4 linked regions of the Lonchura striata genome follow. The protein of the gene in region 2 interacts with the protein of the main gene of each other region in a pairwise test. Links are inferred from orthologs where the notes say so. Each region holds a gene or a part of one and is shown on either strand. Other genes may lie near its edges.

What was found.
Region 1: the proteins of BMAL2 (region 2) and EPAS1 interact in binary tests that used the Homo sapiens proteins (3 or more experiments, as listed by UniProt). The link is inferred for Lonchura striata from reciprocal best matches to the Homo sapiens genes BMAL2 and EPAS1.
Region 3: the proteins of BMAL2 (region 2) and CLOCK interact in binary tests that used the Homo sapiens proteins (3 or more experiments, as listed by UniProt). The link is inferred for Lonchura striata from reciprocal best matches to the Homo sapiens genes BMAL2 and CLOCK.
Region 4: the proteins of BMAL2 (region 2) and NPAS2 interact in binary tests that used the Homo sapiens proteins (3 or more experiments, as listed by UniProt). The link is inferred for Lonchura striata from reciprocal best matches to the Homo sapiens genes BMAL2 and NPAS2.

What each region holds. Positions count from the first base shown.
Region 1 is NC_134605.1:16,709,636-16,717,140, forward strand, and holds the start of EPAS1 (endothelial PAS domain-containing protein 1), read left to right. Parts: upstream 1-4,383; 5' UTR 4,384-4,421; coding exon 4,422-4,468; intron 4,469-7,505.
Region 2 is NC_134607.1:1,590,493-1,598,326, reverse strand, and holds the start of BMAL2 (basic helix-loop-helix ARNT-like protein 2), read right to left. Parts: upstream 3,369-7,834; 5' UTR 3,234-3,368; coding exon 3,173-3,233; intron 1-3,172. UniProt on the Homo sapiens protein: Transcriptional activator which forms a core component of the circadian clock.
Region 3 is NC_134606.1:27,394,888-27,402,880, reverse strand, and holds the start of CLOCK (circadian locomoter output cycles protein kaput), read left to right. Parts: upstream 1-4,635; 5' UTR 4,636-4,744; intron 4,745-7,993. UniProt on the Homo sapiens protein: Transcriptional activator which forms a core component of the circadian clock.
Region 4 is NC_134604.1:87,285,837-87,293,641, forward strand, and holds the start of NPAS2 (neuronal PAS domain-containing protein 2), read left to right. Parts: upstream 1-4,596; 5' UTR 4,597-4,599; coding exon 4,600-4,892; intron 4,893-7,805. UniProt on the Homo sapiens protein: Transcriptional activator which forms a core component of the circadian clock.

The sequences.
Region 1 (7,505 bases), on a different chromosome or scaffold from region 2:
TTCCCTGCTAACAAATCAACCTGAAGTTTGAAATTTTACTATATCACTTGCTATTGTGCTTAATAAATATTCTGTGGCTTTAACTTACTCTGGTATGAGTAAGCGAAGAATGCTGTCTCCTTCCTCCAAAGCATCAGCTGTGTTGAATAACAGGGCTCTCTTTTCTCCCATTCCTTTCCCATAATGTCATTATTTGTTATTACAATAATCAATTTTTTGAATTTGCAATATTGAGGAGCCAGAAAAAGAAATAAATCAGACAGAGATTATCAATGAAGCTAAAACACTTTATCCTCTCAATAATTTAAGAGCTGCTTTTAATTTTAAAAATTATGCTTCCCCTGCAAGAGATAGAGTATCCATGTTTTCTTCTGACTACTCTGGAGCATTAATTGCTGAGCAGCGTCAAACTTCTGTTTTACCAACACGCTTCAGTCAGTGCAGTGCCAGTAGCATGCATACATAAACCGGAGTACTAGAAGTGCTTTGACTTGGCTGATGATGGCTATGCGCATTCAAACCGGAGTAAGTGCTGATTTGGATGGCTGATTACATACATATGCACATCCTTGGAAAAAAACAATGCAGCATAACTGGTCCTAAATCACTGGTGTGTTTCAGAATAAATGGCATTAATCAGGAGTCGGCCAGCATCTTGTTTGGGTGATGGGGTGTTCCCCATGAGCACCAGGAGCCCTGTCACTACCCTGTGCAGATTTCCTAGCTTGTCAATGCGGTTTAAACTTCAGTGTGGGCTGTGAAAGTTGCTCTCACACCACCGGGTTTTTTTGTAAGTCTCTCTTTTCCCCAGAGTTTAGTCCAGACACAGCTGACATAAACTGGTCCCCTCTAGACTTGAAGGACCCTTCAAGAACCCAACTGATAACAAGACAGATATCAATGACTTCTCAAATTCATCACCTGAAGGCTGCTTTTAGAAATTAAAAACTTTGTGTTCCTATAGCATCTCTAGAATAATTCACATAGGAAGAACGTGTGTCATCTTCTCTAAGACACAGCAGCTTGTATTTTCTCTAGCCAGTAAAAGTAAAGAAGTCCCATCTGGTATGCTGATTCTGCTGAAATCTTTGATGAGGGGAGGAAAAAGAGGAGTTAACCCCTGTTAAGTTCAGTTCATGAAGTTCCCCGAAGACTTTATCCTCTTCCATGAGATTTTATCTGAGTTATATCTACTAAGCAAAGTGTAAAACGTAGCAAATGCAAGGTAAAATGTAAGGAGTAACATTGGAATATGAAATGGAAAGAGCCTTTACAGTGCTGATAGCAATCAACAGAACAAAGTATGTTTGCTGTCAGTTTAAGGCTTTGTTTGGCTTTTCTGGCAGCTGTATCTTCTGTGGTTAAATAGAGCAGATTTGTAAAATAAATGTGCTCACTAATGGCGTAGTTCCTATCGAATTTTCTGAGTAGTATAAGGTTAGAGAAAGTCCATGTTATGCTGGGTACTGCTGTTAATAAATACTGACTCATCATAAAGGAAATTAAAATACTAACAAGATGCATTTGGAAATACAATTATGTGATTCTCTCCACTGTTATCCAGCAAGGAGAAACCCCAGCAAGCCTTCCCAAATGTGCTGTGGGATCCCTTATCACCACAGAATGCGTCTAGTAAATTGACAGTGGTATTAAAGATACATTTGATCTTCCCCTCCCTGAACAGTCCTGGGAAAGAGAATGAATTAATAACTAAAGCTCTAGAAGACAGGCCTTTTTTTTTTTTCCTTCATGTTCAAGATGGGGAGCTCATTTGCCAGAAATAATAGTATAGACAACTTCAAGAACTGAAGCTGTGAGGGAGCTGTAAGAATCACTCAATCTTGCTTGCTTCACCTTCCTGATGCAGCAGAAAGATTCCTGTTTTTCTGGGCACTGACCTGTGCTGAAGCCCACCAACCTGTCTGTGCAGGGGAGGACAGGACAGGTGGTGGTTCTTAAGTGGTGCTCAGATGTGAATTCTCCCAAATTCTCCCAAAGAACCTTCAGGCCCTGCTGGCCCAGAGAATGAGAGATTTACACTGTTAATCAACTACACTGTATCCATGTAGGCTGAGCCAACAGGAGTCTGGCCAATGAGCTAGATGTGAAATACTTAAAATTTACTGAGTGGTTTAGATTTAGTCAGTTTGAATGCTTTTCTTGTCTGATTTTTGAAGGCAACTTGTTTATCCAAGTGAAGTGTTTTAAGATACAGCAAGGAGCATTGACATCAGCAGAGATCAATGAAGGATGAAGAGGTCTATTTAATCTAGGAAATGAGTGACTTGGGTCTTTGATCCTGTTGCATTCTCATATTCCCAGAAGGTTAAATTTAGTCCTGCATACACAAATTCTGTTTGACTAAGTTTACTTAGGTTTTAAATATTTGTGGCTTTCTTTTGTTTAGGTTCTCTTGTTATACAAGAAAAAAAACCCAACTGTTACCACATAATTAGGCTGTTGCTGTGTAAGCATGTGTAGCTCTTTTCAGACTTGAGAGCAGAATATGCAAATTCAAACCCAAATGCATTTCTTTAAACTTTCATACAATATAAAAGAAAAGGAAAACACCCTCTGACCCATTGTATACAAACGAGCCTCTGAAATGACATAGGGAAATGGCTCAAATTTGTATTAGCAAGAAATAAGTCCTGTTAGTCTCATGTTGCCTACAATACTTCCATTTTCTAGAAGAAAACCTTGTGGAGCCTAATACAAAGGTGTGCATTTGGTTCAAGATATAAAAATGTAGAGAACATGAGGATAAGCTGAAGTTTCTGCTATGCTGAAAGACAATATCAGGAAAATTTTTCATAATCCCTTGTCTAGGAAGGTTAGTGGCTTTGGTGTAAAATAAACAGAGCTCAAAGCAAGAGGGTTTTTTTTATTATTTACATTTATCTTAACTCCAGCAAGCTATAGCAGGTGCTAGCACGAGATGAGCTTCGGCGCTTCTTGCCACAGACTCGCTCCACCATGTGTCATCAACCACGAGTTTTAAAAGTGCCTGAATTGAAATATCCATTATGACACAGAAAATAAAATCGAAAAAACAGGGAGAGGAAGGAAGTCCCATCAGGGAGGTAAAAGAACAGCCCTTGCTTCCTTGCACATCCCTCTGCCCCCAGCTGCTGCCACACTCCCGCTCCTCCGTGTGCGAGCCGGGCCGAGGGCGGCCCCGCACGCCCGCGATGGCTCCGGGGCGTCGCTCCAAGCCCGCACCGTCCTTGTGGCTTTTATTTTCGTAATATTCAATTTATTTTTTCGACACCCATGCCTCGGGCTGAACGGGGGGCGCTCCAGGGGGCGAGTGCGGGGCAGCTCCCCGCTTGCCGGAGCAGCGCTCGGTGCCGGGGCAGCACCGCAGCTGCTCCGCGGCCGCCGGGCAGGTGTCGCGGCGGCCCTCGGACCGCACCGGCGGGGAGACACCACGGCGGGGAAAAAAAAAAAAAAAAAAAAAAAATTAAGTTTAATAACGAAAAACTTAAATAACTAAAAAATAAGCGGCGGAGGGGTGGGTGCCCGTGCGCGGGAGCCCCGCCGCAGCCGGAGCGGTCCGGCGGGGCGGAGCGGCCCCGCTGACCCCCGGCCGGGCCGGTGCCGGGGGCGGGGAGCCCGGGGCGCCCCGCGGGCCCCCATTGGCCGGCGCGGCGGCGCGGCGGGGCCGGGCCGTGCGGGCCGGGTCCCGGGCGGAGGGGCCGGCCCTGCCCCCGCGGCCGGCGGCTGCCCAAGGTTTAAAGTGAGAACTTTCTGCGGGCGGCGCCGAGCTGTACAGCCCCGCCGCCGCGTCGCTCCTGTCCCGCCGCAGCAGCCGCCGCTACCGCCGCCTCCCCCGGGCGGGCCGTACAATCCTCGGCAGTGTCCTGAGACTGTACGCCCGCCTCGGGGGCGACCCGGTCGAACCGGACCCCGCTCCTCGCCCGCGGAGCCCCGCGTCCCGCGGGCAGGTGCTGAGCGCGCCCCGGCCCGAGAGGCGGCGCAGGAGCCGGCAGCAGCCGCCGCGATGACAGCTGACAAGGAGAAGAAAAGGTGAGGGGCCGCGGGCGAGGCGCCGCGCTGCTCGGGCCGCTGCGTCCTCCTGCGGCCGCGGGACTCCCCGCGGGCAGGCGCCGAGGGGGCGCTGCCCGAGGGGGCACCGCCGGCGGGACGGGACGGCCTCGCCTCCCCCCGAGTGCGGCGGGACTGAGTTAGTTCGCCCAGCCCGGGCGGGGAGAGGGCCAGGGGCGCAGCGCGGCACCCCTTGCGGTAACCCGCGCTCCGTCTGGGCTGGGAGCGCTGCCCGGGGAGCTGCCCCCGCCGGGCGGCACCGCGGCCGGCAGCGCGCCCGGCCGCGGCCCGGGGAAGGCGGCCCCCGGCCGAGCCGGGCGGCGGGCAGGTGCACCTGGCAGGCAGGGCCAGCCAGCCGGTGTGCGGCCAACGTCATGTACGCCATGGCACGGCTTGGTACCAGCGAGGACAGAGGTAGTAGGTAACTGTTTTTCACTCGAGGACGGGGGTTTTGAAGGTAGCAGCACTCTTGGCAAAACGTGGTTTATAATCAAAGTCGCGTGGGTGAAACTGACAGGCTGTGTAAATATTTCGCCACCTCCTCGCTCCAGTCTGAGACGCTGGCCGCGGTGCATCTCCCGCGGTTCGCGGAGCTCCTCGGCTGCCAGCGGGTTTTCCCGGAGGGTCGAGAGCTCCAGGAGCGCCCAGCGCCTCGTTTGCTGCTGCCCTTCGAGAGGGATGTCAGGCTAGACATTCCCACACTGCCGGAGCGACCCTTCCAGCGGGAATCAAAGTAACGCACTGGTGGTTTTGTAGTTCATCGAAGAGTTGGTTCTTGAGAACAAACGTCAAAATAAAAGTCAGCGGTCCATAACACAGAAGTTACAGGTGGAGATTAAGAGAAGAATTATCTACTTATTGCTCCAAAGTTATAAACAATTCCTATGGATGAGAGAGGGCACGGGCATGGGGAAAACTAAGCAAGTGAATAAAGGTCTGTGAAATCCTGTGAAAGGATATGGATGCAGTCTGTTTCATACAGCAGGCAGTTACAAGGATCCGTTGATTATCGGCACAGGTTCTGGCTATAGATTCTCTATAGAGATGTGGATTATAGACTAAGAATTTTATGTTGCTAATTTGTCGTGCGTACTATCCAGTTGACCATGCAGTAAACTTTAAACCCTGGGTTTTTGTTTGTGTAATAGCTCCTTTTTTATTGAGTCACCCTATGACAATATAATAGGGGAGGTGTAGTGGTGTAAATCATTCCTTTTCCCTCTAGTTTTGTTTTCCTCAGTTTACTGGAAACTAAGGTTAAACAGTTAAACAGTTGCTTCAAGTGTATTTTGTTTTAGATAGAGTGAAGAGTAAAAATATACGTACATTTTGTGTCTTATGTTGTAAAAGTAAAAATTATTGTACAGTACAATGTAGTTAAAAATGTGTTAGTTTATGAAGCAAGAGGATGAAATAGTGTATATCTTGGAAATGCACTGCATTCATTGTATTACCTCTTTTTAATGGGGCACTCTTTAATCTCTTCAGTTTTAACCTCTTTCAAGCAGAGTAAGGGATTGAGCAGTGTCTAATCTTGCAGGACAGCAGACTGAAGTGGTTTGGGGAAATACTCTTCAGATACTACACAGGCTTCAGAGGACTGAAGTCTGAACCCTGATCCTGACTCTGTCACTGCTTTTGAATATTGTGACATTCAGTGACAATTTTTCTGTTTCTCTCAGAAGTAGGCTAATTGTTATCTGGTTCATGGGATTGTTGCGTAAAATAATGTTTGTGGAAGAATTGGGAGAGTGTCATATGAGGGACTTCAGATAGCTGGCTTGTGCCTCCCTGTCAGTGTGCTGTGGATATCCCCACTGAGGATGTACTCTATGTTGCTCGCTAAAACAAGATAGTTTTGCTTTCTTCATTTTCCTGTACTATTATAGAGTAGTTTTATTGCCTTGAGTTTGACAGTTAGTATATTGTTTGCTATATTTTCCGGAACAGAATAGATAAGACACAGCAGCCCAAATTGCGAATAGCATTTATAAATCACTTTCATGGAGAAAAGGTGGGATGATGTTACCAGATTTCCAGGCAGCTCTGAAACTATGTTGAGGAGCAGTTCTCTTACTGTCAAACAGATGTTCTAAGTAGGATAATCTTCATTTAATAATGATTCATTTAATGGTCCGTTTAAGTTGAAGAACATCCTCAGGTCCTCATTTGAAGCTCTGTTTGCCAGCAGAAAAGAGCAGTTGCTTTATTTAGAACAAATGTTATGGCACTTTCAGTAGGCTGATTTCCCACCTTTAAAGTTAGTCCAAGATCCAGAGTTGAGATTAATATGATTGCTCTTTTGATTTAAAAAAATTATCTAGACAGTATTAGATCCTCTCTTAGAATGCCAGTAATTAGGAACTGGGAGAAGGAGAAATAAAAGGGCATAACACATTTTAGCAAATAGTAAAAGCAAAGGGAAAAGTGTCTGATCTGTACAGCTGTGCAGTACAATGACAAGTAGTAGGTAAGTCCCAATGTAATTAGAGTAGCCTGATACAATATCTTGTCGTGTTTTTTAGTGATTTTCAAGACAGTTATTTTGTTAGGACTGGCTGCTGTGTTAAATGAACAGCTCTGGATAGACAGCAGTGTCTATTTGAGAAAAGTTTGAAACCAGGCTCAGGACAAGCCCCAAGTACCACTGAGAAGGATGCATTATTTGGCTTCACCTTTTCAGTTGTGTTGGTACTTGGGAATTCTGTGTTTGTTTTCCAGTTTTATGAAAAATAAACCAATTTTGCAGCTCAGGGTGTGCTAGTGGTCCCCATGTAATTGCACAATATATTTTGTGACCATAACCATATAACATTACAAAAATCCATTTAACTTTTTCTGGCCCAGATAGTAAAGAAATGGGATTGCCCCCAGTTATTGTCTAGGTAATAGACTGCTTTCATTTACCCTTTTACTTTGGGCTTTATTTGATGTTGAGCCCCTCTAATGAGATGCTTTGTGCCTCAATTTTTGCTGACCTTTTCCTTCAGGAGAGTAGTTTTGCCAAGCTGAAGTCACTCTTGGCTGTTCCTCCTCAGGATGAGGAAACTGTCCTGATGGCACAGCTCTCCAGAGCTCAGGTAGTTAATTGCTTGTAATGGATATAATTTGGATGTCAGGAAATGTGAGCATTTGGATGTGCCAAGGTGTTAAACTGGAGATTTCAAGAAACATACAGTCTGTTTTGTTCTCCCCAGGACATTTTCTGTGTGTCACTACTTCCAGGTATGCTCCCTATTGCCTGTGCTGTTGGTGACCGATGATCTTGTCCATTCTCTTGCCAACTTGGGTTTGTTCTTACACTCTTTTAAACCTCACTTTATGTACTTTAGCTGATGGAGCTTTGAGCACTTTCCATTGCAGACTATTTCATACATTACCCAGCTTCATAAAAAAAAAGGTCAAGTTTTATTATTGCTCAACATCTCCTCATGCATAGCCCATGTATTTTATTTACT
Region 2 (7,834 bases):
TTAATTGTTTGTGATTTTTTTTTTTTTTCTTTTTTTAAGATGTGAGATGTATCAGCTCTGCTGGGAGGAAAGGCTGAGGGAACTGGGATTGCTCAGCCTGGAGAGGAGAAGGCTTTGGGGTGACCTCACTGTGGCCTTGCAGTGCCTGAAGGGAACCCACAGGGAAGATGGAGAGAGACTCTGGACAAGGGCCTGGGGTGACAGGACAAGGGAATGGCTTCACACTGACAGAGGCAAGTAACTCCACACCACGTAAAAATTGTTTCACTTTAATCTGGAGTTAAATTTCTAAACTTTTTGGTTTATTTTAATGAATTCTTGCTGCAGATATTAATTTGAGAGCGTGGCAATGACACACACAGCCTACACACACCCAGGAGTGTGTGAGGAAGAACGTTACAGGTGCTGTGTACAGCTTAAGGTCCTGCACATCTCTACACCAATACAACAAAGAACCATATTTTCTACACATAGCTGAGAGTTGTACTAAAAAATCCTTTGAATTTATTTATTTTAGACCTTTAAAATAGGCCATGAAAAGCATTTTCAAATTACTTACAGCAAGTCCATCACCTACAGTATCTCTAATTGAAAGCTGGGACAACAATCTTTGGAATGAAGTTCTGAAAATAATAGAAATGTATGGATTAAAGCAGCTTCTTCTTTGCCCAAATTTTAGAAGCATGTGTAATGCAGGAGCAAGATACAGAGAATTCAGTAATGAAAGTATCTTATGAACAACACTATCCAGAGAATAAACTCATCTATGTTAAGAACATTGGATTTGGTTTTAATCTCACAAAATGAAAAAAATAAAAAATTAAAACACTCTGAATTACATACATTTAAATAAAAAAATAACAGAGGCAACTGATTACTCTCCGCATCTATTTTTACTTATTTTCATCAGCTGGAAGAGAAGCAGTGAAGAATCACAACTTGCCACTTAAATGACACATTTACTTCACAGATTTCAAACACAAAATATTGGCAAAATCTATCAGTGTATTAAAAAAATAAAATAAGTCAGGAACCAGCTAATGAAAAGATACTCCCAAAGGCCTGGAAAGGGTACCCTGCTTTCCCAGGCACTTTCATGTTCACACCAGGTAGAAAGCACTGATAGGAATCGGGAGTCTCATATATCATAGCTCATTTCTGAAAACAAACAAAAAACACAACCACAAATCCCCTCCAATCATACACTCCTAGAAGAATGGTGGAGAGCTGTTTTCTTGTAAGTTTTGGAATCATGTGATTGCAAAATGCTGAGTCCTATCAAGTCAGCTGCAGAACTTGATTGGTTTTAGCTGGCCCTGCAGTCCAAACAGGGAATTTTCAAAAGTTCACAATGATTCATTTCCGAAATCACCCACCAAATTATTTCTTCTTACAATGAATTTGATTCTTGGATGTGAAATGTCCAGTTTAGAGTTGTTTTTTCATACCATGCAAAGGTACCAACAATGAGGTGTACACTCAAGTCAAAACAAAACAAAACAAAAACACCTAAAAACTTTTAGGCAGGTAATTTTAGTGTGGCCCTATCCCACAAACAATTAAGATATTTTTTGTCTTAAAAATAAAGAATCCCAAAACTTGTTTCATTAAAATCTGCTAAAAGAACAGGTATAAACATAGGCAGTAGAAGAAAGCAGGGATGGGGGTTTATCTCACAATAAAACATGAAAGCCTGTGATTCACTGATTTCCCAAATCTACTTGTAAATGGAAATGCCTGTGCATTTGCAGGTTTCTTCATTTTGATGGTTTTCTCTCCTTTCAGTATATGCATGATATAGAAACAATAAATCTTAAGTTTTAAGCACAGTTGAGCAGACTGCAAAAACGCTACCAAATCCCCCCCTCCACACACACACCACCACTTTGTTTTCAAACAATACATTATTTGCCACAAAATTTTACAACAGGATTTACACAGCCAAGCAGCACAGACAGAAACTCATCAAGGATTTGAAACAACAAGGATCCCCACATACATTAAAGCACACATAACCCAAGAGGCATTTAGAAAACAACTACTAAGCTTAGAAGAATTGGTGCTAACTATTACAGAGCTGCAGCGATGGCTCAGGAGGGACCGGACCATTTCTGTTTTCCCACACCCCGTGCAAAACGCTCCCTTTCTACTAGTTTCCCAGCAGGAACATGAGCAGCAGCTGGTGGTTTACAACCAGCCTTGATTTAGTACCAGAAACTTATGATTAAAAACATGGAAAGATCAAACCTTGGTCGCCATACAAGCGTGGGCACACACACAGACACACAGAGAAAAGCCAAAATCACTATACCTAAAATACTAAATTCTGTTTACCTACCAAAAAAAAAAAAAAAAAAAAATACTAGAGTTTTAGGAAGGCAAGGGTACGTGTGTACCAGAAACAGTGAACTACAAACTAAGTTTAAAAAAAATAGCAACAAAAAAAAACCAAAACCCCCCAGATTTTTAGTGCACATTGCATCAGTATGATGACACATCTGTCACAGCTGTACAGCACAGTGACCATTTCACAGGCTGATGCCAAGAGGATGGTGCCAGGCTCTTTTCACTGCTGCCCAGGGATAGGACAAGGAGCAATGGACAAACTAAACACAAGAAGTTCCACCTCAGCCTGAGGACGAACTTCTGCACACTGAGGGTGGCAGAGCCCTGGAACAGCTGCCCAGGGAGGGCCTGGAGTCTCCTTCTCTGGGGGTATTCCAAACCCACCTGGACACGCTCCTGTGTCACCTGCTCCAGGTGACCCTGCCTGGGCACGGGGGTGGACTGGACCATCTCCAGAGGTCTTTTCCAACCCCATTCCGCGATTGTGTGTTTCCGTGTGGGCGCTCCAGGTACCTCCACTGAACTCCCCCGAGCGGGAGCAGCCAGCGAGGAGCGCCCAGCAGCAATCAGCCACCAACCAAGGCGAGCGGCCCCGGAGCGGCGCCGGGCACGGGACCCGTCCCGAGCCGCCCTCACGGGAAGACGGCAGCGCCCCACGGGCACCAGCCCCACAACGACACCCGCCCGTGCCACATCACCGAGGCGGGCGGACAGACGGACGGACAGACGGACACAAACAGGCAGGCGCACCCCACACGGGGCACCGCGCGAGGGGAGAGGCGGACGCGGCGCGCGCCTCCCGCCGCCCGGGCGGACCCGCTCCCACCTTCCGCCGCCCGCCGCTCCTCCTCGGCGCCCTCCGCGCTTCCCGCTCCTGCTTCGGCCATGGCGGGCGGCCCCGTGCCCCGCTCCACAGCGCCCCCGGCACCGCCGGCATGCAGGGGGTGAGCTGAGGTGAGCAGAGGAGGAGCCGCCGGCGCCGCCGAGGGAGCGCGGGCCGCCCCGCCGGCCGCCGCTCAGCGCCCCCGCCCCGCCATGTTCCCGCCCCCGCCGCGCGCCGCCTCTCGCGAGACGCCGCTGCCGGCGCGCGCCTCCCTCACGAGGCCGCGCGGGGCGGGCGCGCGCCCCGGCCTGGGCCGGCCCGCAGCTTCCGGGACAAGTGCGGCAAGGGGCGATCGCGTAGACACGCGGTTTTTTGGTTGGTTGTTTTTTTTTTTTTTTTTTTTTTTTTTTGGTTTTTTTTTTTTTTTTTTGTCTTACAATGAATATAATTCAGCCGTAGAACACATCGACCGGGAGTGTTTTGCCAAGTTAGCAGTGTATACACAGACGTACATCAACACTGCTTTACCGCATCCTTAAAACATGTTATTTCCAGGATGTCCTTGAGTAAGGGATGCTGGCAGCTGTCTCTTCCAATGGTTAGATCTGCATTCTTGCCGGTTAGGCTTGGAAATACACAAAGGTCTTACATGAAAGAATATCCTGAGTTAAGATAATCTTGGCATATTCCCCGTTTTGCACCACTCGGGTTGGTGCCCTGCTCACATCCCTGGGCTGGGCAGGGCTGCTGTTCCTTTCTCCGAGTGTTGTACAGAGGATGCTTCACCTGAGGAAGTGCTGAAACGTAAATTTTAAGGAATTTAGAGATTTTAGAGGAGCTAAGATTTTAGTTAGAGATAAGCCTTACTAGAGTTAATTAAAATAAATGAGCAGGCCTTGATGAAATTAATAGTTAGTAGTGAACTAAAAATTGATTGCTTATCAGCACAATGTTTAATTAGCTGGGTTTGTAATGAAGAATATAGAAACTGACAAATAGCTTTTAGGAACTAAAGACAATTGTGGGCCTCCTCTGTTCTGAAACCAATTGAAGACAAGGAAAGGGAGTTCTACCAAGAGTTCATTTGTCATATTTGCATTGAAAAGGTAGAAAGGTCAGAACGAGGAAGACTTCATTGACTTCCTCATTTTGGGACCCCTCCCCATGAAAGGGACCACCGACCCATTTCAAGGAATAAACTACGCATGCTTAATAGCTTTTGGAGTGATTAGCATACAAAGCGGGGAATGGGATGTACCAAAATGATGAATACGTATTTGTATTTTGGGTATTCAATATTTGTATGGATAAAAAGAGTCTGTAATCACCTGGAAGGTGTGGTGTAGATTTGGGAGCTATCCCACACACAATAAACACACACTTTCTAACTTTAAATTGTTAGAGAGTTTTTATCCATCACAGTTGGATATCGGTACTAGATCAATATCCATATTTTTTTAAATAAATCAGTGTCAGGATCTTGGAATAGTTTTGGTCAGCAGAAGCCTCTGTGAGTGCTCAGAGAGCAGTCCCATCTATCAGTGAAAAGTAGCATAAAGTAGAGATAACCTTTACAAGTGTGCTGGAGTGTGTTAGCAGAGCTGTAGCTGGTTTTTGGCAGTACCAGGAGTGTGCTTCCGAAGTGAATGTGCCCGTCACGGTGCACTGGTTCACACCCCGGAGTGCCGGTGTGAGCGAGGGGTGCTCCTTGTGCACCAGGACCTCCAGGTGCATCTGTGAAAGATTAGTGTGTTCCAGCCGTTCCCAGGCATTCCCTCCCTCCAGCAGGTCCCACTAGAACCAGTCGGAAATTAAACCTCCACAACACGTGGACCTCGGCAGTGTCTCTTCCACGTGACAGAGCCTCTGTCACTGTCCTGCCCCGTGTTAGTGCAGCCTGTGCCCGCTCAGCTCCGCTTGCAGCTGTGACAGAAGAGGCTTTTGCTCAAGCACACAAATCCTGAACTGTGCCATTGACATGGGCTGCACAGGTGCTGCTTATAAGAAAAATATAAGAAAAATCTAAAGCTGTTAGAGAGTGTCCAAAGCAGGGTTAAGGAGATGATGGTGAAGGGCCTGGAGGTGAAGCCACACGAGGAGCAGCTGAGGGCACTTGGTGTGTTCAGCTGGAGGAGAGCAGACTGAGGTCAGAGCTCACAGCAGTTCTGCAGCTTCCTCACGAGGGGAACAGGAGGGGCAGCTCTGATCTGAGACCAGGAACAGGACCCAGGGCACGGCTGGAGCTGTGTCAGGACAGGGTTAGGGTGGGTATCAGGAAAAGGTTCTTTCCCCAGAGGATGCTCAGGCACTGAACAGGCTCCCCAGGGAATGATCACAGCCCCAAGGCTGCCAGAGCTCCAGGAGCATTTGGACAACAACCTCAGGTGCAGGGTGGGATTGTTTGGGTGTCTGTGCAGGGCCAGGAGCTGGATCCTTCCAGCTCAGGATACTCTGTGATTCTATGAACTCAGGCACAAGGGAACTTGAAGTGTAGCTGGTACTGCTCACCAGTGAGGCCAGAGCTGCAGAGTTGGTGACGTGTGTGTGGAGGAAGCTCCTTCTGCAGGTGTTCTTCTCCCACTGTTCTGGGGGCTTTCCCCTGCCTGTTGTTAATAATGGGGATCCTGTGGAGCTGGCAAGAGTAGCTGTAATATTTTTCAAAGGATATTATGTTCTTTCATCATCAGTTCTAGTGGTCACTATCTAAGTTAAATTTTATGTCTTTAGAGCTGCAGGCAGGGAATAATTTTTTCCAGATCTGGGGGCAGATTCTTAAGATAAAAAAACCCTTTGCTAAAACTGAGTAAGAAAATGTGACTAAATACACATGGAAAGGCAGTTGGGATCGTTCTCTTCTCCCAAGTAAAATGCAATAGGATGAGAGAGAATAGCCTCAAGCTGTGCCAGGGATGGTTTAGATTAAATATTAGGACAAAATTCTTCAATGAAGAATTGGAAAAGTCTGTCAGGAAAGTGGTGGTCACCAATCCCAGAGGTATTTAAAGCATGTGTGGATGTGGCACTTGGGGATGTGGTTTAGTGGTGGATTTGGCAGTGCTGAGTCTCAATGGTCTCCAGGGTCTTCTCCAAGCAAAATGATTCTGTGATTCTAAGGCCTAGAGAAAGTAAATCCCCCCAAAAAACACTGCAAGCCAAATGCATTCAAATACCTATACATTTTATGTAGTGTGGTGGAAAATCAGCAACTCACCTAGCTAGGTAAAGCTGGGGGGAAAAAGCCCAACCAGAAAACAAGGATGTGTTTCCTTCACAGCTTTCAGAGATGTAGGCAGAATTCACTTGTCTGAACTCCAAACTATAATCTTGAGGATGGTTCCTCAGACATGGTCCTGAACTCCATTCGTGACATCTTTTATAATTGGAAGCTCCCAGTACATTTTCCATCTGATGTGGAAGCTCCTTGTCTGTGTGGGAGTGGGCAGCTCAGCATCTTGCCCATGGCAGAGCCCAAGGATTAGAGCACGTGGAAGGAGAGGGTGCATGGCTCTGACAGAATATTCCAGGGAAGAGGCCAGGGAATCGTGGCTCCCAGCTGGGGGTGCTGCTGAAGAAATCCCATGGTGCTTCTGTGACAGTCTCAATGCACACTTCTTCATAGGGTACTTTTTTCCCTTGGAAGTCTGACTTTTCATTTTAGAGCTTTATGTTCTATGTAATCCCACTGTTACTACTGCAACTATATATATACATACATACATATATACATATACATATATCTATATATATGTATGTATATCTCCATCATGATGGGTTCAGCTGGTCTTGTCGAGTTTGCATTGAGCAGAAGGAATTGCAAGCCCTTTCTGCCCTAAATGAAATAAAAAACAGAAGGCAGCGCTAAAAATCAGTTAAGATGCTGTTGCTGTCTTTGAGAAAACTGCTAGCATTAATGCACACTTATTTTATTCATATACCACAAGTGATACTGAGAAAATTTTTTAAGGATTTATTCCCAGGAAGCTTAAATGTCATCTTTTGTCCTGCTAAAATACTGTCTTGCCCCAGTTTTGAAGCTGGGAGCTCACTCCTCCAGGTCTGCATGATCAATGGACACCCAAATGCTAGGGGGATTTCAGAAGTGAGTCAGCCACACCGACTGAAAATGTTTCAGGGACTCAGGAACCACAGAAAGCTGAAGATGGCTGTTGTTATAAAGCTTGATGAGTTAAACATTTAAATAGCTCCCCAAAACTGTTTTAACAAGCTTAATAGCTAAACAGCTATTAAATACAAACTCTCCACATGGGAACATTAATGAGGACATTTAAAATCTTTGGGTTTTTTTTTTTAACTGACTCACTAGAAACAGAACTACTGTACCTGATTCACATTTTATTTCATATTTTTTAGTGCAGTTGCAACTCACTGTGGACATTTTTGGCACTCGGTCAGAAAATCAGATCAGTCTCTTGGCAGTATTTCTGCCTGTCGTGCTCCTCCTCCACGGTCAGTGTCAAGTCAGCCAGCACTTGGATAATTCCTACAAACATAAAGAGCTACCAGATCATTAACACATATTTGAGACATCATTTCTTATTCTTGTTTCTTATTCAAAGGTGATGATCGGGCTCTTCGCTGAACCTTTAATACATGACAGTAACTGGTGTTTATAGCACAGTTTGCCTCCAGTCTTGGCAGAGCAGG
Region 3 (7,993 bases), on a different chromosome or scaffold from region 2:
TCTTGCATAAGATGTAGAATACTTCAACACAAAGAACTGAACTAGCACTTTTTAAAAAATCTAGAAAAATTAAATAAGAGTGGCTAATGAAATAGCAATTTCTTAGAAACAATGGAATCATAGCGCATCTGACCTACTCGATTTGTTAATTCACTTTGTGAGAGTTAATTGTTCACTTTTGTTCAAATACATGGAAGATTTCTTTTGCTGTGCATGTTTATCACCATGTATGTAACCTTACTGAGAGCTCTGGGTTTCACTAAGAAAGTGGTGTCCATTGTTTTCACTTTCTTTTCTCAGCAGGAGTGGTCTAACAGGATTATTCTACCTTTATTTCTCCTTTGACGTGAACAAATCAAAAGCCCATCAGAAAAAGTCTCAGTTACGTAAACTGAGGAAAGCTGGGGGACTTGTTAATTTATCGATGGCCCTGTAAATTCTCAGATGGTAGCAGAAGTTGTGACAGGATGCAGCAGAAATGTCAAAGGACTCCCATGATTGGTTCTGTGTATGTTAGCAATTCTATCAGATGTTTTTGAAAAACACTGAGAATTAGTACAGAATGTATAATCATATTTTAGATTCAGACCAGTTTTAGATTCAGCCTGGTTAGAAACTCTCCTTTCTCTCTGACTGAACTGAGAATACCCATACAGTTTTATCTTTTCCTTCAAGTATTTTGGGAGGGGGTTTCTTCTCAATTGTCAGGAATCAAATATTTTTTCCAGGAGCAAAAGGAATAGGACAACCAAATGAAATTGTTAGAATTACAGTAATTTAAATTTCAAGATCTGAAGAGAGAAACCAGTGGCCTTTCTTGATTTTAATTTGATTTATATAATGGAGAAGCAATTCTATATTTTACCATTGCATAAATAAGAGCCTCTGAGGAAATTTGTAATCCCTTAGGAATGAGTATCCACAAAAATCCTCATGACAAAACTGGATCACCTGCCTTTGACCTCCAAGGTCCACAGGCCACGCCAGCTGATTTAACTTCAGTCAGATTCAAAAGATCCTAATTGCTCAAAGGCCTGGAGGGGAACAAAAAATCCCTGTTGGTTTTGGCATTTTCTGTGTCCGTGTTTTCTTCATTTCCTGGTTGATTTTTGGGGTTTATATAGATTGTATTTTAAATAGTAACTATGAAAATAATGAACATGGTAAGACATGCTAAAAATAAAAATATACAAAGGTTTCCCCGATGTTACTTAGGGAATGGAGAAGTATTTAGATGTTAAATTAAAATCTAGTTTAAATAAAGTAGAATGTATGTTACAGATTCAAAAACATTATTTAAATTCTACAATGGACAAAATCAGTTTTAAAAACTTAGTGAGGAATGAAACTGAGGTACAGTGCCTGAAGTGTCTGGTAGCTTTACTAACATATTTCTTAGACTGTGCCTGCTATGTTTTTTTACTTCAACAGCTCTTTAAATCATAATGATCTTGGAAGAAGCTAAATAAAATTTGTCCTGCAATTCTTATAACAAATTAAAGTAGAAGCAGACTATAGGATAGAAGACTTGTGCTCTTCAAATGCTTTAATAACTTCAGTTATTTTACACATCATTTACACCACAACTGTCATTATATTTCCTTATTCTTTTTCAGTATCCCAATGTGTTTACTGGTTAATGAACACCTCAAACTGCTGGCCTGAAAGTTTCCAGAAGGCAAGTTTCTCAAAGCCATTGTAAACTGCTGCACTCAGAATTACAAGGTGTTTAGCCACAGTATTTGTATATAAACTGGTGAAATACAAGGCAGGTTCATTGGGATAGCTAAACAAGGGGGAGGAGATCTAAAGTCCACTTCTTAAAAGTTGAAAAGGTATTTGATTATTTTTGAAGGGAAAAAAGAATCTGAAAAAAAGGCAAATAACTTGCATAAGATTTACATAATTCTGTGGTAAGAATATTGCCTAGGCACGGTATTTTGCAATTTCATGGTAAGATATTTTACTGAGATAAAAACATGTATTGCTTGAAAAAAAATTAATTAAGATCATGTGTTCTGACATAAGTTAGTTCAAATACGGTTTTCTACCCCTTTGGTAAGCCTATTGGTGGATACCTACTGGCAGATACCACTGCTGGAAGCTTTTATTTTCCAGATTCAGAGATAACTAGTAGAAGCATTTCAGAGACAACGGCTTATGTGCCGTTATCTGCCACTTCAAACTAGAACGCTAGCTAGTAGTTTTAAATGTAAATAGGTCATCAGGGACTTTAGATACGACTGCACAGTCCCTTCAAGTATCAAAGTTGGCTGCTATAAAAGCAGCATTGCTTCCTCTCAGCTGCCAGCCTCCCTCCCACTACTGTGGCTGCTGCAAGGGACAGTGTGTGACAGTGGAAGCAGATGCAACAGGAAAAGAGCCAAACATCCCCCTTTGGTGACCCTGCCTTTGTTCAACCAAAGTGATCACACGGTTGTAATAAAAGCCATCAGATGTGACAAAGCAGCAGCAAAATCCAAGGTAATCTGCAGGTTAAAACCAGATGTTTCTGGTACTGAGTCATTTACACTGTTTGGCAGAAAAGGCTCCAGGAATATTAGCCAACCCTGCTTTGCAAGGGTTATGTGGATTGTGACAGGATTTCAAGTTAACATCCGCTCATTTTAGTATTCTGGAGTGATGTGAAATTTAGTTTTGGTACCAGTTTCCTATAAGAGATCCTCTTTTGAACAGGCCAGTGTGGATCAAAAAGGAGCACACTAAGCAGGTGGTCATTCTGTGGCTCTGAAGTACATTATGCAGGACAGCAATGGCATTTCTCTAGGAAATACGGCTATTAGTTAATGGAAGTGCATTGGAAATGTCTCCATTTCCAGCTCAATGGAGTCCAACCGTTCACCAATTCACAAAAGATCTGCTGCTCCTAATTTGGCATTGTTTAAAAGTTGTGTTTGCTTTCACAGTCTGTGAGTGAACCACAACTACCATTACACAGCAAAGCCACACTGATGGCAAGAGCAGAGCAATAGTATTTCTAGAAGAATAGTTCATAAAACCACCACACCATCTCTAAGCTGTTCTGCTCCTTCAGGATCCTACAAAATACTGCCAAAAGAAAAGCAGCATTAAAAAAATGACCTTGCTTAGGCCACAGCTTTGGCAGAAAATGCAAATGTGCATCATCTCCACAGCTGTGTTGCTTGTTTTGATCTTGTCAAAGAATAATTTGTCACTGCAACATTGCAGTGAGTAGGTGTTATGCTCCTATTCATGCAAGGTGTGAAGAGATAGTGCAGCACCCCTTCTTCTGAAGAATTACCACTGCTTATTAAAGATCTTCTGGAAAATTCAATAGATACAGCGCAAAGTTATTTGTAGCCTCCTGGTTTCTTTGCCATATTCTAGTTCTGATAAATAAGCATTTTTGGTGAAAATATTCCTGCATTTTTTCCTTGATATTCCAATCCTACCCTATTGTCTCTACTACATTTTATCATAAGTGTTATCCTTTGTGCATAAGATAGTATAATTATCTTTCCTTATGCCACATTTTCCTCAACTGAAAGCTAAAATTAGAGTATTGTGAATCAGAAACAAAAATAAACAGTTTTGCTAATGTTTTTCAGAATTCTTCCAGTGGAAAAGCTTATGGTCAGCTCTTTGGGAGCTTTACTGGTAAAGAAGCTCCTGTCCCTACAGTATCTTTGCACTAGACTTTGGTCACGATTGTGAATCAAATGGGGAAACTGAACTACCTGAAAAGTAACCCAGAAAGAAATCCATGACAATTTGCAGTCAAGTTCTTTATTTTATTCTAGACATAAACACGAATTAAACTTATACAGATACTTTTAAATACATTGCTATTCAGATACCAATTAAAAAATAAAATCCTTTTAACTGTGAGAAAAAAATTTGGATTACTTACACAATTTTACTTCTAAGCGTTTTATATTACAAAAAACGACTCGCCACAATGTTTTGCTGCAGGCATAGCAGGTTTATATTTAAATATTATGGAACTGTATTAAAAGCCTCGTACGTACAAAAGGGTTGAGGCAAACACGTCTGGTCTCTGCCGCTCTGGGAATTTCTCCGCTTTATGCACAGGAAAGAACAAACCACGGACCTCCGCTGGGACGGGTTCGTTGAACCCCTAAATACCTCGGGACGCATTTCCCGGACAGGACCCGGGATGTCGCTCGTTCCGCTTTCGGAACACGCGTGCGACGGCGTTCTGCGCCGGGTTCACGGTGCCGGCGGGGAAGCGGCTGCGTTCAGCGAGCCCGTTCCGCGGGCTCGGCGGGCGGCGCCCCGTCCGCCGCCATTTCCCGCGCCCCGGGGTGAGGCCAGGCGAGGTGAGCCGAGGTCAAGGAGGCGCGCGCCCACCGCGCCTGCGCGGCGCGCGCAGCCCTCCCCCGCCCCCCCGCGCGCCAGGCGAGGCGCGCGCGCAGAGCGGGGATCGCCGCCCCGCCGTGCCGTTCCTGCGCACGCGCGGCGGAGGCGGCGGCGGCGGCCCCGGGCTGCCGCGGGTTGCAGTACGCGCCGGCGCACGCGCGGTGGCGCGAGGCGCCGCGGCGGCCGGCGGCGGTGGGGGCTCGGCGGCGCAGGCGCGGTGGTGTCGGGGGGACTCCCGGGCCCGGGTGCTGCCGTGCCGCCGCCGGAGGAGCGGGAGCAGCAGGTTCAGTCAGGCAGTGCCGGCGGGCGGCGGGCGCGGGGCTGCGCGCGTGGAGCGGCGCTCGCCGGGGCAGGCAGGCGGGCAGCGGCAGCGCGGGGCCAGGTGAGCAGCGAGCGCGGCGCGGGGCGGTGCGGGCGGACCCGCCGGGGCCCGGTGTGCGCTGGCGAGGGGAAGGCGGGGGCGCGGCGCGGAGGAAGTTTGACAGCGCCGGCGTGTGTCTCCCGCCGCGAACCGGGGGGCGGGAGTGCAGCGGCTGCCCTTGGGCGGGCACGGCCGCGGCCGGGGGCGGGGGGCGCTCGCGGGGCACCCGCTAGGCCCGGTGACCCACTTTGCTCCTGTCACAACTCCGGGGCGCGGCGGGAGCGCCGCCCGCCTGGCCCCGCGCCCGCGGACCGGGCCGGGCGGGCGCGGGACTCCCCGGCATCCCGCGGGCCGGGCTGCGCCGGGCCGAGCAGGGCTGCGGGCGGCGCCTCCCCCCGCGGCCCCTGCGCCGCCGCTCCGCGGGGCGGTTCGTCCCGCGGGAGCCGGGGGGCGCGCCCGGGCCCGCCGCCCCACGCGCGGGGGAGGTTCCGGCGGCGGCCCCGCAGCGCGGGTGTTGACACGGCGGGCGGGCGGCGGTCGGTGCCCGCCCGGCCCCGGGCCCTCCCCGCGGCGGGACAGCTCCGCGGGGCCTCGGGCTCCGGGCGGTGGCGAGAGCGTGCCCCGCGCTCTCCCTGCGGCAGGTGGGCTGCAGCTGCGGGGTTACGTATGCACTTCGTAGGCTTTTAATTTTCCCTTTGTTTTTGGGTTACGATAACTTTATTGCGATAACCGCAACGTGTTCACGCTCGTAAAACCTGAGGGATTCTCAGTATACCCCGGTCCTTTTTCGAGTTACTGCGGCCTTAAAGTCAGTCTCTTTAATGCTCCGTGCATGCAGGTGTGAAATACGAGCAGCGAGGGACTGGAAATCCATGGTACTTCAGTTTTGTGTTTGGGTTAAGTTGGATCACGATTTTTCGTTGGTTTCAATTTCAAGTTCCAGATATTTTAGGCCTCGGTATAAATTGGAAATGTTTGGTTTTTTTCCATGGGGAGTAGTGCTTGTGAACTAATCAAATATATTTGCAGTAAGATTTTTGTATACCTGTTTTCATATGCTAAAGAGATAACCTACCAAGAGGCATAGGGGAAATCAGGTATGGTTTTGGCTGGAATATGTAACTCTATGTAGACGCAGAGTGGCCGATCATAGAACCTGATGCTCTAAATCCTTAAAGTAGGTATTTTTACTTCAATGACTGGTTGACAAGCAGTGCTTTTGGTGGCAGTATTGACTTGACCTGGTCTGCCTCTTCCTTGCTCCAGCTGCACCAGCACAACGGTTCTTGGAAATCGGTCCTGTAACTAGCTTGAGGAAATGATCCAGGTTAAAATTGACTACCTAGGTTTTGTGTTTTTGTTTTTTCTTTTTAACGTGGTTATAGTTAACCTATATAATTTCTCTGGCTAACAGGTGTAACAGGAGGCAAGAGGATTGTTTAAGCAAATACTCTAGAGAAAGAAGTACTTGAGAAATACAGCTCGACTGTGGTAGTCCTGGCAAAGTTCAGTATGAACAGTTGCAGTTGTTTCACAATGTTCAGTTTTACAGAAATAATATTGACTTTGTTTATAAATATCTGTGGGATTTGGGCCTGTTATTTGAAAATGGACAGCATTTGATTGTTGTAATAGGGAGATTCTAGTTGAAAGTAATTTTGCTTTTAATTTTTTTTATAAGTTAAACTATTAATTTTCATATGTATCCACTTAAGACACTTTCTCAAACTTGCTACAGATGCTGCTTTCAGATTACCAGACAAAATGTATTTGGTTTAGGTTTTTGTAGAATATGGCAAGTTTATCTGAGAATTTTGTTGGTAAGGCAAGGGTTACTGCTTCTTAACAAACAATTCAAACAGGGAAAAAAACCCCAAACTTCCGGGTTGATATTTAATAGTTTCAGGTGCCATTCAGCCATGTCTTGTTTTTTATTTCTTCCGCTTCATGCTCTTACATGGAAAAGTTTTAACACATTTAGGTAAAATAAAAGAATGTGAGGAAAGGAGTATGTTTTTGTTACTAATGCTCTTCTAAGGACCTCCAAACCTCTGCTGTAGGTAGCTTTGCTCTCTTTGTACTAAGCAATTTTAAAACTCAGTGGTAATTACCTTAAATTTTATTTGCAGTGTTGGTTAATTAGCTTCTTGGTATAGAATTTCATGGAAGTCATGAATCTTTGTGGTTGGATTGGTCTTGTAAAATAAATTGTTGCTTTTAAGAGCTTTAGGCTTTTGCTTTCCCTCCCCCCGCCCCGATTTTAAATTTCTGAGAAAAGTTGAAGGTATTAAGTGATAGTAGAGGTATTGCCCCTCACCTTCTCCACATGTTCTTTATATTAAATGTTTTTCAACTTGGAAAGTTGTGGGGTTTTTTTTATTAAAAACAAATAAACTTGTATTGAAAAGTTTTGTGAATCAAAAATGCAGTTTTCTTTACTAGGTAATTTCCTCATTTGAAAGGAGCTTCTTTTTTATCTACGCTTTCCTTCAGGAGATACATATAATTTGTTGTCAGTGCCTCATGGTTTCAGCCTAGTTTTATAATGAAGACTATGGATAGCTCTCCTCTTGAAGTAGAAAATTATCATCCTAATACAGTTTTTAATACAAAATATAATTCAGAAGAATTGGAATTACAGCTGAAAGGTGCCTTTTCATCACACTGTCATGAATTAGTTTTGCTCGAGACAAAGACTTTGGTAGATCTCTGAAGTGAAGAAAAGTTTATTTTAGTGTTTCAGCCTTTTGAAAGCACTAGCTTCTCTATGAGCACTGCAAACTGAAGGCTGAGTGTGAAAGCAGGTGTAGAACTGTTTCTGAGGATTATGAGGTGATGTTAGTAGGTACTGGCATAGCAAAGTCAGTAGTGATTGTTCCTGCCATTCTTAATTTCTGTTTATTTACTTTGCAAAGTATATTTAACCTTTCAGTGTTAATGAACTGGTTCACCACTGAAGGGGTGGCACAAGATCAGGAGTCACCAGGCTGTTGGAGGAGCAGTAGCTGGTTTTGAGTAGCTTTATCTCTAGAGGACAAAAAAAGTGTGAGACTACAGATAGTTGCCAAACCATTCAACTGTTTCTCTCATCTTAAGCTAATACTGAATTATTGTTAGTAGTGTTGATTTTAATAATTTGGATTTAGTGATCTTTCAGTATAAAAAGACGTGTTGGAAGCACACCTTCAGTCCCTCAGCAGAATCTGAAATGAAAGGTGTCAGTGTCTCTCTATAACTCTGGCACAAGTAAATTTGGGTAGATCCTAGGAA
Region 4 (7,805 bases), on a different chromosome or scaffold from region 2:
CCATTTCACTGTGGCATCTCGCTGCTTTTCCCTGCTTCGAAGACTGTGCTGCTGGTTGATAAGTATGCACTACCTCTCCCTCCCTCAGAAAGCTGCAAGCCACAGAATGAAAAATAATGCTGATGCCCAGAAGACTATTCCTCCCTGCAGAAATTTCTAACAAAATTGGTTACAGAAGTACATTATCCAAAGAACAAGCTCCTCACATCTGTCCTTGTGCTCCCATGCTTTCCTCCCCCAGCCAGCCTGTCTGGAAAGAAGCACAGAGCTCCCAGCAAACACAGCTGGTGTGACTCTTCTGACTAACATGAGACATTAGATTTATTTGCCATTTATTTGTTCCTGTTGCTCCTGCTTTCAACATGGAAGGTAGGAAAAATTGCCCACAGTCTGTTGTGCCCCTTAATTAATATGAATCAAATGAATCCTTGTCCATATCCTTACTTTCTTGAAAACGAAACAGTTTCATATCCAGTGGAATTGGTCAGGTTTTTGTATGTCCTTTATTTTTTTTCTACCATGCAGTGCCATCTCTGACTTTTGCACCACTGTTGCCATTTATGTTGATTAGAGGATGATTATTTGGGAGAATCCTATTTACCTCTACACAAACACTAATCTGAATGTAGGCTTCACATTTCAATTATGGGCTGCAAATGACATCTTTTTCCCCACAATATCTACTGGTGTCTGCTGAAAATTAAAAGCCTTTATGTAGCACAGCCAATCAGAGAATCATCACAGAACCTTCTGGGTTTCAAAGTACATTAAAGATCATCCTGCTGTGGGCATCTTCCATTAGACAAAGTTGCTGAAAGCTCCATCCTACCTGGCCTTGATCACTGTGAGGGAGGGGCACCCACAACTTCTCTGGGCAACATGTTTTAGTGCCTCACCACCAACATAGTAAAAAAAAAAAAAAAAAAAAATCACCTAATATCTCATCTAAACCTGTCCTCTTTCATTTTAAAGCCTTTATCCCTTGTCCTATCACTACATGCTCTTGCAAAGTGACTCTGCTCTCGTGTAGGCCCCCTTTAGGTACTTGGGACACCTCTGCTTCCAGATTGTGGTGGCCAGGCTCTGACTCTGGAGCCAAGCGATGTCCAAAGTAGCTCTTGTGCCTTGCAGTGGCAGCACCTCATAAATTTAACTCCTGGCAGCAAGAGAAATCAACAGAGTTAAACACAGTGTGTCTGGGTTGAACTCACACCCAACACCAAATCCCTCCCATGGTCTTGCCACAATGGAGCAGCCGGATCCCTGGGGTGCTGCTGTCCTCTCAGGCTCTTCCCCTTGGTCTTCCTCCCTGGGAGACACCTAGCCTGTGGTTCACAGCCTATTGAAAACCCTGTTGCCTTGTTTTGGGCTGTGAAGGTTGGCCAGCCTATTCTAGTCGAAACAAAAGGGATTGCGTCTTTGAATCACAGGCTCCTGGTGTCTGAAAAGCTGCTTACTAATACTTCATTATTATTAAAAGATTTCATTCTTTAAAATTGAACGTTGGGCTCCTTGCCTAAAGTTCTTACGTGTAGCATCTAGCATAACCCTTTGGTTAATTTCCAACCCAAACATGGGATTGACAGCATTTGGTTATTTTCCATGTGTCACTGGATGGGGAGAAAGGCTTTGTGTTTTGAATGGCTGGTATTTCACAACGGGATTCAGGTATGAGCTGGGAAAAGCCTGCCTCACCCTCAGCCGCTCTGCTCTTTGTTGCCCTAATTAAAGTTTACTCTGGTAACCTAGGGAATGAATTAAGAAACAAACCTCAACCAGTCTCACTTGTTCACTTGTGCAACGGTGTCCTTAGAAATTCACAGGGAAGATGTAAAAACACAGTACGATAGAGATGTAATTTTGTACATGAGCCCCTGTGTGTCTCTGATTGCATTTCTCAACCTGGTATTTTCCTTAAGGTACTTGGTTTCCCAGCTTCTGAAAGCACAGTGTTGGTCTGGAGAAAGGATTTTGGTAGGTTTTCAAAAGGACTGGAATATCAAATCATGTAGTGTATATAATCATGGGAAGTTCCTTTTCTCTAACCTTACAAGGCTTGAAGATTTTATGTTATACTTCATTGTGCAACACAAGAAAAGTACCTCAGGAACAGAAATGTCTTTTATTCCACTCCCCATGTATCTGATGCTTTATTCCCTCAGGCACTACTTGTTTGCCAAAGGATTGTTTAACCACTGTTTGACAATTTCCAAATGGGAAAAAATGCTGGCTTTCATCCAAAGGAAGGGAGGAGCTTTTTGAAGTTTTGTATTTAATCTTCGTTAAAAGTAAACAACGTTACCCTTTCGACATTAGTCATGCCCGTTGTATAAAGAATGGTGTAAAAGTGCTCAGCAAAGGAGCACAACATTTTTCCATACTTTGTAATTACTCATATTTGCATTGGGGATTGAATTGGATCAAATAACTGGCTGGATAAGGTGTATGGCAGGAGGTGAACATCACAGCGGGATAACTGGGTGAGCTGGGTGGTGAAGGTAGTGGGAGAAGCAGCACAGCTCCCTGCAGGAGACAGGTAGCTGGAGCAACCATCAGTCCACATGCTGCACCCACACACGCATACCCGGAGCAGGCAGTGTTTTCTGCTGGTGGATATTTTGCAAGGATTAACGTGTCTTTACCGAAGGAGGCATGGGGGGGCACGGGGAAACAACACCTGCCCCACCACACAAACTATGGAAAGAGGCATGGCTGTGCAGTCAGGCCTTTTGCTAGGGACACAGCTTGCACCTCGATACGGGGGCTTTCCCTCCCCAGCAAACTCCTCTGAACAGAAAAAATACAACTCTCCTGAAAGCAAATACTGTATATCCGGGGAAAACACCTTCTGCCGGTGAAAGGTGTCCGCCAGCAGCGCCAACAAGCCCCGGGTACAAAGCCAGTGCGAGGGCGACAGCAGACAGGGGGCAATAGCCGGCGGGGCCCGGGGGACGCGGCGCCCGGGGCTGAGCCGGGGGAGGCTCGGGGAGCGCGGCCGGGAACGGCGGGGAGGCGGCGGGCTCTGCCTGAGCCGTGCCCCCGCTCCCCGGCCACTTGTGCCTTCCTGGGGAAAGAAGGGCAACTCCGGAAAGAAGGGCAACTCCAGAAGCCGGCAGGAGTGCCCGTCCAGGCAAGAGCAAGGCTCCGATCGCTAGCTCCTATCGCGCTCCAACACACCACACCGCCTTCTCTCTTACTGGTCACTTTGCAGGAAGAGTATTAAAGAAAAAAAAAAAAAAAGGCAAAATAGGGAATAAAAAGAATGACCTACTTTGAAACAAGAAAAAAAAAAAAAAAAAAAGCGCTCTCTGTCAAGGTTTTGCTCCAATTGCCTGTGCGCCGTTGCATAACCAGATCGGGAGCTCCTGTCTGTGCCCGGCGAGGCCGTGAGCCTGCCCCGGGCAGCGCGGTGCCGTGCCCCGCTCCGGCCCGGTTCCCGCTGCCAGCACCGCCGGGACAGCGGGCACGGACAGGGCGCAGGACCCCCCTCGGCGCGGAGGCCGAGCTGGGAGCGTGTCCCGAGCCCGCCGGGCGGAGCCGCGCAGGGTCCCGCCGATCGCCCCGGCAGCCAGGGCCGGGCACCGGGCGCAGTCCGGCCAGCGGGGCCGGCGGTGCCGCCGGGGGCTCCCGGGGTCAGGCTACCGAGGCGTCCGCCGGTGCGCAGCGGGGATATCGCTACAGACATATGTAAACGTGGGCACGCCGGGGTTCGCTCGCGGCGGCGGTGTGAAACCATCCTTGATGCGGGGCTGGCTCTTTGGTTGAGGATTTTTTTTCCCCTGCTTCCCCTTTCGTTCTCTTTCCAGCTTCTCCTTTTCTTGGATCCTCGCCTGTCTCCTCCCACAGAACGAGAGAGAGAGAGAGAAAAAAAAAAAGGTCACGTATGTTTGGAAAAATATGTAGGTCAGTGGAACATTCCCTGCACTTGTGCACAGGAGCTGGGGCGGGAGAGCTCCTCCGCAGCCCTCTCGCTACCCACCGCCCCAGCCCGGCCCTCCCGGCGCCCACCGCGGGTAGGGGGGCGCCTAGCGCCGGGGTCCCTTTCCCCCTCCCTGACCCATTTTGAGCAACAACCGCGCGTTCGGGCTCCCCCTGGCCCCCACTCCCCCCAGCTCCCCCCGCTCCCTGCCGGAGAAGGCTACGAGCGGCGGAGGAAAGCGGCACGGGAGATCCTCTGCCGCCGGCGCCGCGGCTGCGCCCATGGGCGCGGGGCGCGGGGCGCGCCCCCGCAGCGCCGCCCGCTGAGGGCGCGGGGCGGCGGCCCCGCGGCGGGGGCAGGCGAGGGGAGGCGGCGGCGGGCGGCGATGAAGGGCCGGCGGAGAGGATGCCCCCGCCTCGCCCGCCGGGCTCCAACTTCGCGGAGAACTATCGGCCCCGCAGCCCCCGCGCCCGCCCTGCCTCTCCAGGCCGCGCGTCCAACTTAATGCCCCAGCAGGAGCCCCAGCCAGCAGCCCCCCCGGCCTCCGGCCTCCGCACTCCCCCGCAGCAGCCCGGGCTCCCGGCGGCCTCCCGGTGCCGGCGGAGCCCCCGGCCCCGGCGCGCGTGGGTCCCGCGGCGCCCGGGGCGGCGGCAGAGCGGCATGCGGCGGCCCCGCGCACCATGAGACAGGGCACCGGCACCGGCGGCAGGCAGGAGGCGGGCAGCGTCCCCGGCTCCTCGTCGGCGAGGAAGAGTTTGCCGGCTCCCGAGGCCGGCCTCCTGCGCGGCTGGAGCAGCGGCGGCCGCTGCCGCAACGGCACCGGGAGGCACCGGAAAAGCGGCGGCATCCAGCTCGGCGGCACCAGCACCGGCGGCGGTTCCCGCGCCCAGGTGGCCACCGCGGACAGCAGCAGCAGCGGCGGCGGCGGCGGCTGGGGCTTCCCCGCCGCGCTCCCGCAGCACCGGCACCCCAGGTAACGCGCGGCCGTGCGGCCCCGACCCCTGCCTCCGTCCCGGGGGGCGCCCACTCGCGACACCCGCCCGGGGGGCGCCCGCCGGGGACACCCACGCGGGATGGTCGGCCAGCGTGACCCCCGCGGCGGCGGCCGGGGTCAGCTCCGCGGTGCCCCCCGCTCTGTGGGGGTCACGGACGCGCCCGGTGGTGCGGGGTGGCATGGCTCTGCCGCGGGAAAGTTTCCGTGGGGAGCACGCTTATGTGCGGCGTGTCTGTCCCGGCCGGGCTGGCGAGGTCCGGCCGGGCGAGCCCCTCCGTTTGGAAAATAAGTTGCCCCCTAAGCAGTCCTCCTCGCCATCTCGTTTTGGTGTGGTTGGACATTTCCTGACTTTGGGGGTTCCTATAAGCCAGACAGCAACAGGGTCTGCGATGCGACCGGGCGGGTGTTTGCTCAAGGAAAACTTCCAGTAGGAGCAGTGGGGATTTGGAATGGGTGAAAGCTCCTGGGGGGAGCAGAGGTTGTGCCGTGCGCTGGGAGAGCCCTGCTGCTGCAGCAGCCCTGCGCAGAACTCCCTTCCCGCGTGTTTGCATCCGTGTGTGGCACGGGGTAAACCTTAAATACACGGCTGAACGGCACCACCGGATTCACACGGGGTTGTGCCGTGGTGTTTTCCTCTGTGGTCACTACCTTGATTTGTCAATTAACAAGCACGCTCATCCAGAAACTTTGCTCCCTACTCCTTAGCTGTCTACAGGATGGCAGCTTACTTTCACTCAAGTGACTCAGAAATAATTAGCGGTTATAAGCGTTACAGCCAGCAGAGGAACTTGGATTTTTTCATGGCGCTAAACCTCCAGAAGGGCTGTAGGGATCTCTCGGATGGGCGCAGGCAACCTGAGCATTCAGTTCAACAAGTGGTTGCCTCTTGAAGTGGAAAATTATCTAATTTATCCCAGTGTGAGATGTTAATGCACTAAACTGTGGGTTTAATTTGTTTGGTGGTACTAAATAATTAGAGTTCACAGTGTCCAGACATAGCCAGCTCATCCACTGATGCACATCTGATTCTGAGAGCTGGTGGAGGGCCCAATACTGCATACATTTCAGTAGATGAATAAGAACACAGGGTTGCTCTGCAGAGATGCCCAGGAGTATTTGGAGAATGTGATTACCAAACTGCACATTCACTGAAGATGTGAAAATGAAGGTTTTCTAGAACTAGGTATGTGACATCAGGGTGATTCCTCAAGCTGGCAGCACTTGTGTGCTCCAAAGCCTGGGTCTTCAGTGAGCTTTCCTAAATTAGTTCTCCTTCATAAATAAAGGTGCCTTCCTGCACATTAGCAAGGTTGAATCCACAGAATTATGATTTTTTTTTTCCCAAATCTCTACACTGAAGCATGCAAGAGCCCTTGAAGGAGTTGTTTCTTTTTTCATAGGCAGCAATGTTGTCTACAGTTAAAATTAGCTAGTGCTTTCTAGTACAATGATCTGCTGTCAGGTGGTTATGCATTTCCTAAGCTTGAGCTTAGGCTGGTATTTTCCAGGATGAGTGCCTTCTGAAGGCAGACTGTCTTTGGGAAGTTTCAAATTAAATGGTTTGGTTATTTCTGAGAACGTGGTAAGACAAAAACTTGTTCTTTGACCACGTATTTGATGAAAATGGTTTAGGTATACATCCTGCATTAGGAGACCTTGATCTGGGAATCTGAATTTCTTTCACTGTGCTAAGAAACACTTTCCTTCAGATTTAAATTCTTGTGGCATCATGTTTTGGATCAAGGAAAAGATATTTTGCTTGGGATCATCTTGTGATGGGGGTGCGCATTTTGTTGATCCTCTGAGAATCTTCCAGAATTTCTTTCCAGTATAATTTTATCACAATGCTCCAGGCATGTGCTCTTGGGAGAGGACTTGTTGAGGGCTTGACTGTTGCACTTGCTTGAAGATGTTCTCAGCACAAGGCATGCTGAACATCCCAGCACTGTTAGGAGCTGAGCAACTGCTCCTCTTCCTGGGAAGGATGAGAGCATTCCAGTTGGTGGCTGATGGGCTGAATGGACTTTTCCCCCAATTACTCTTCCAAGGTGTTGCTTCTACAGTGAGTTCAGGAAGGAGAATAGAAGACTTTCTCAACTGTGCCTTCAGTGGCAGGGTGTGCCTGGTGATGCAGTGGAAGAGTGAAGCAGGAGACTGTTTAATTCACTTGAATGGTGACAAGAAATTGTGGTACTAGAACTGTCCCACTTTTGAGAAGTACTGGTGATGGATACATGGAGAAACTGAAGACAAGAGAATAGAGACAAAGGATTTGTGGGATCATGGATGACAAATCTTGGGAACAAGGTGCAGGGAACTGTAGATACAGGTGGTAAACCCACGCCAAGAGAAGGAATGGTGGAAAGGAGGAACTTGACACTTGTGTACAGGGACAGGAGACCTGAACATCCGGAAACACAGTGGTTTCCATTCTTTCAATAACCAGGACATGGTACTACTGCTTTTTCATCATTTTCCTCCCCACACTGCCTGCTCTGTGTTTCAGCCCCTGCCTCTGCTTATTTGTCTCTTCCCTGGATTGGTAAATGTCACACAGTTAAAAATAACAGCCAAATACACATTTTATGTGCATTTAATTGCTTTTCTTTCTGTGTTAGATGAACTTAGGTAACTTCCATTTGTGTTTTTAGTTTTGTGTCTAGGCTCTTAAGGGAGATGCACTTGAATTGCAGATTTTGCAGAAGGATCATTATCTGTATAAAAAGATAATTTTCCTGGATTTGGCTTAACTGTATGTTGGTCCTTGCTCTTAATAAGACTTCTTGAAAAGGTAGGCTGAGGCCATGTAAATATTTGTATTATTTTAGCTAATTTAATTCAGTGGGTAATCTGCATCAGCTGATAGACTGATTTTATGAGTCTGACTGCTGA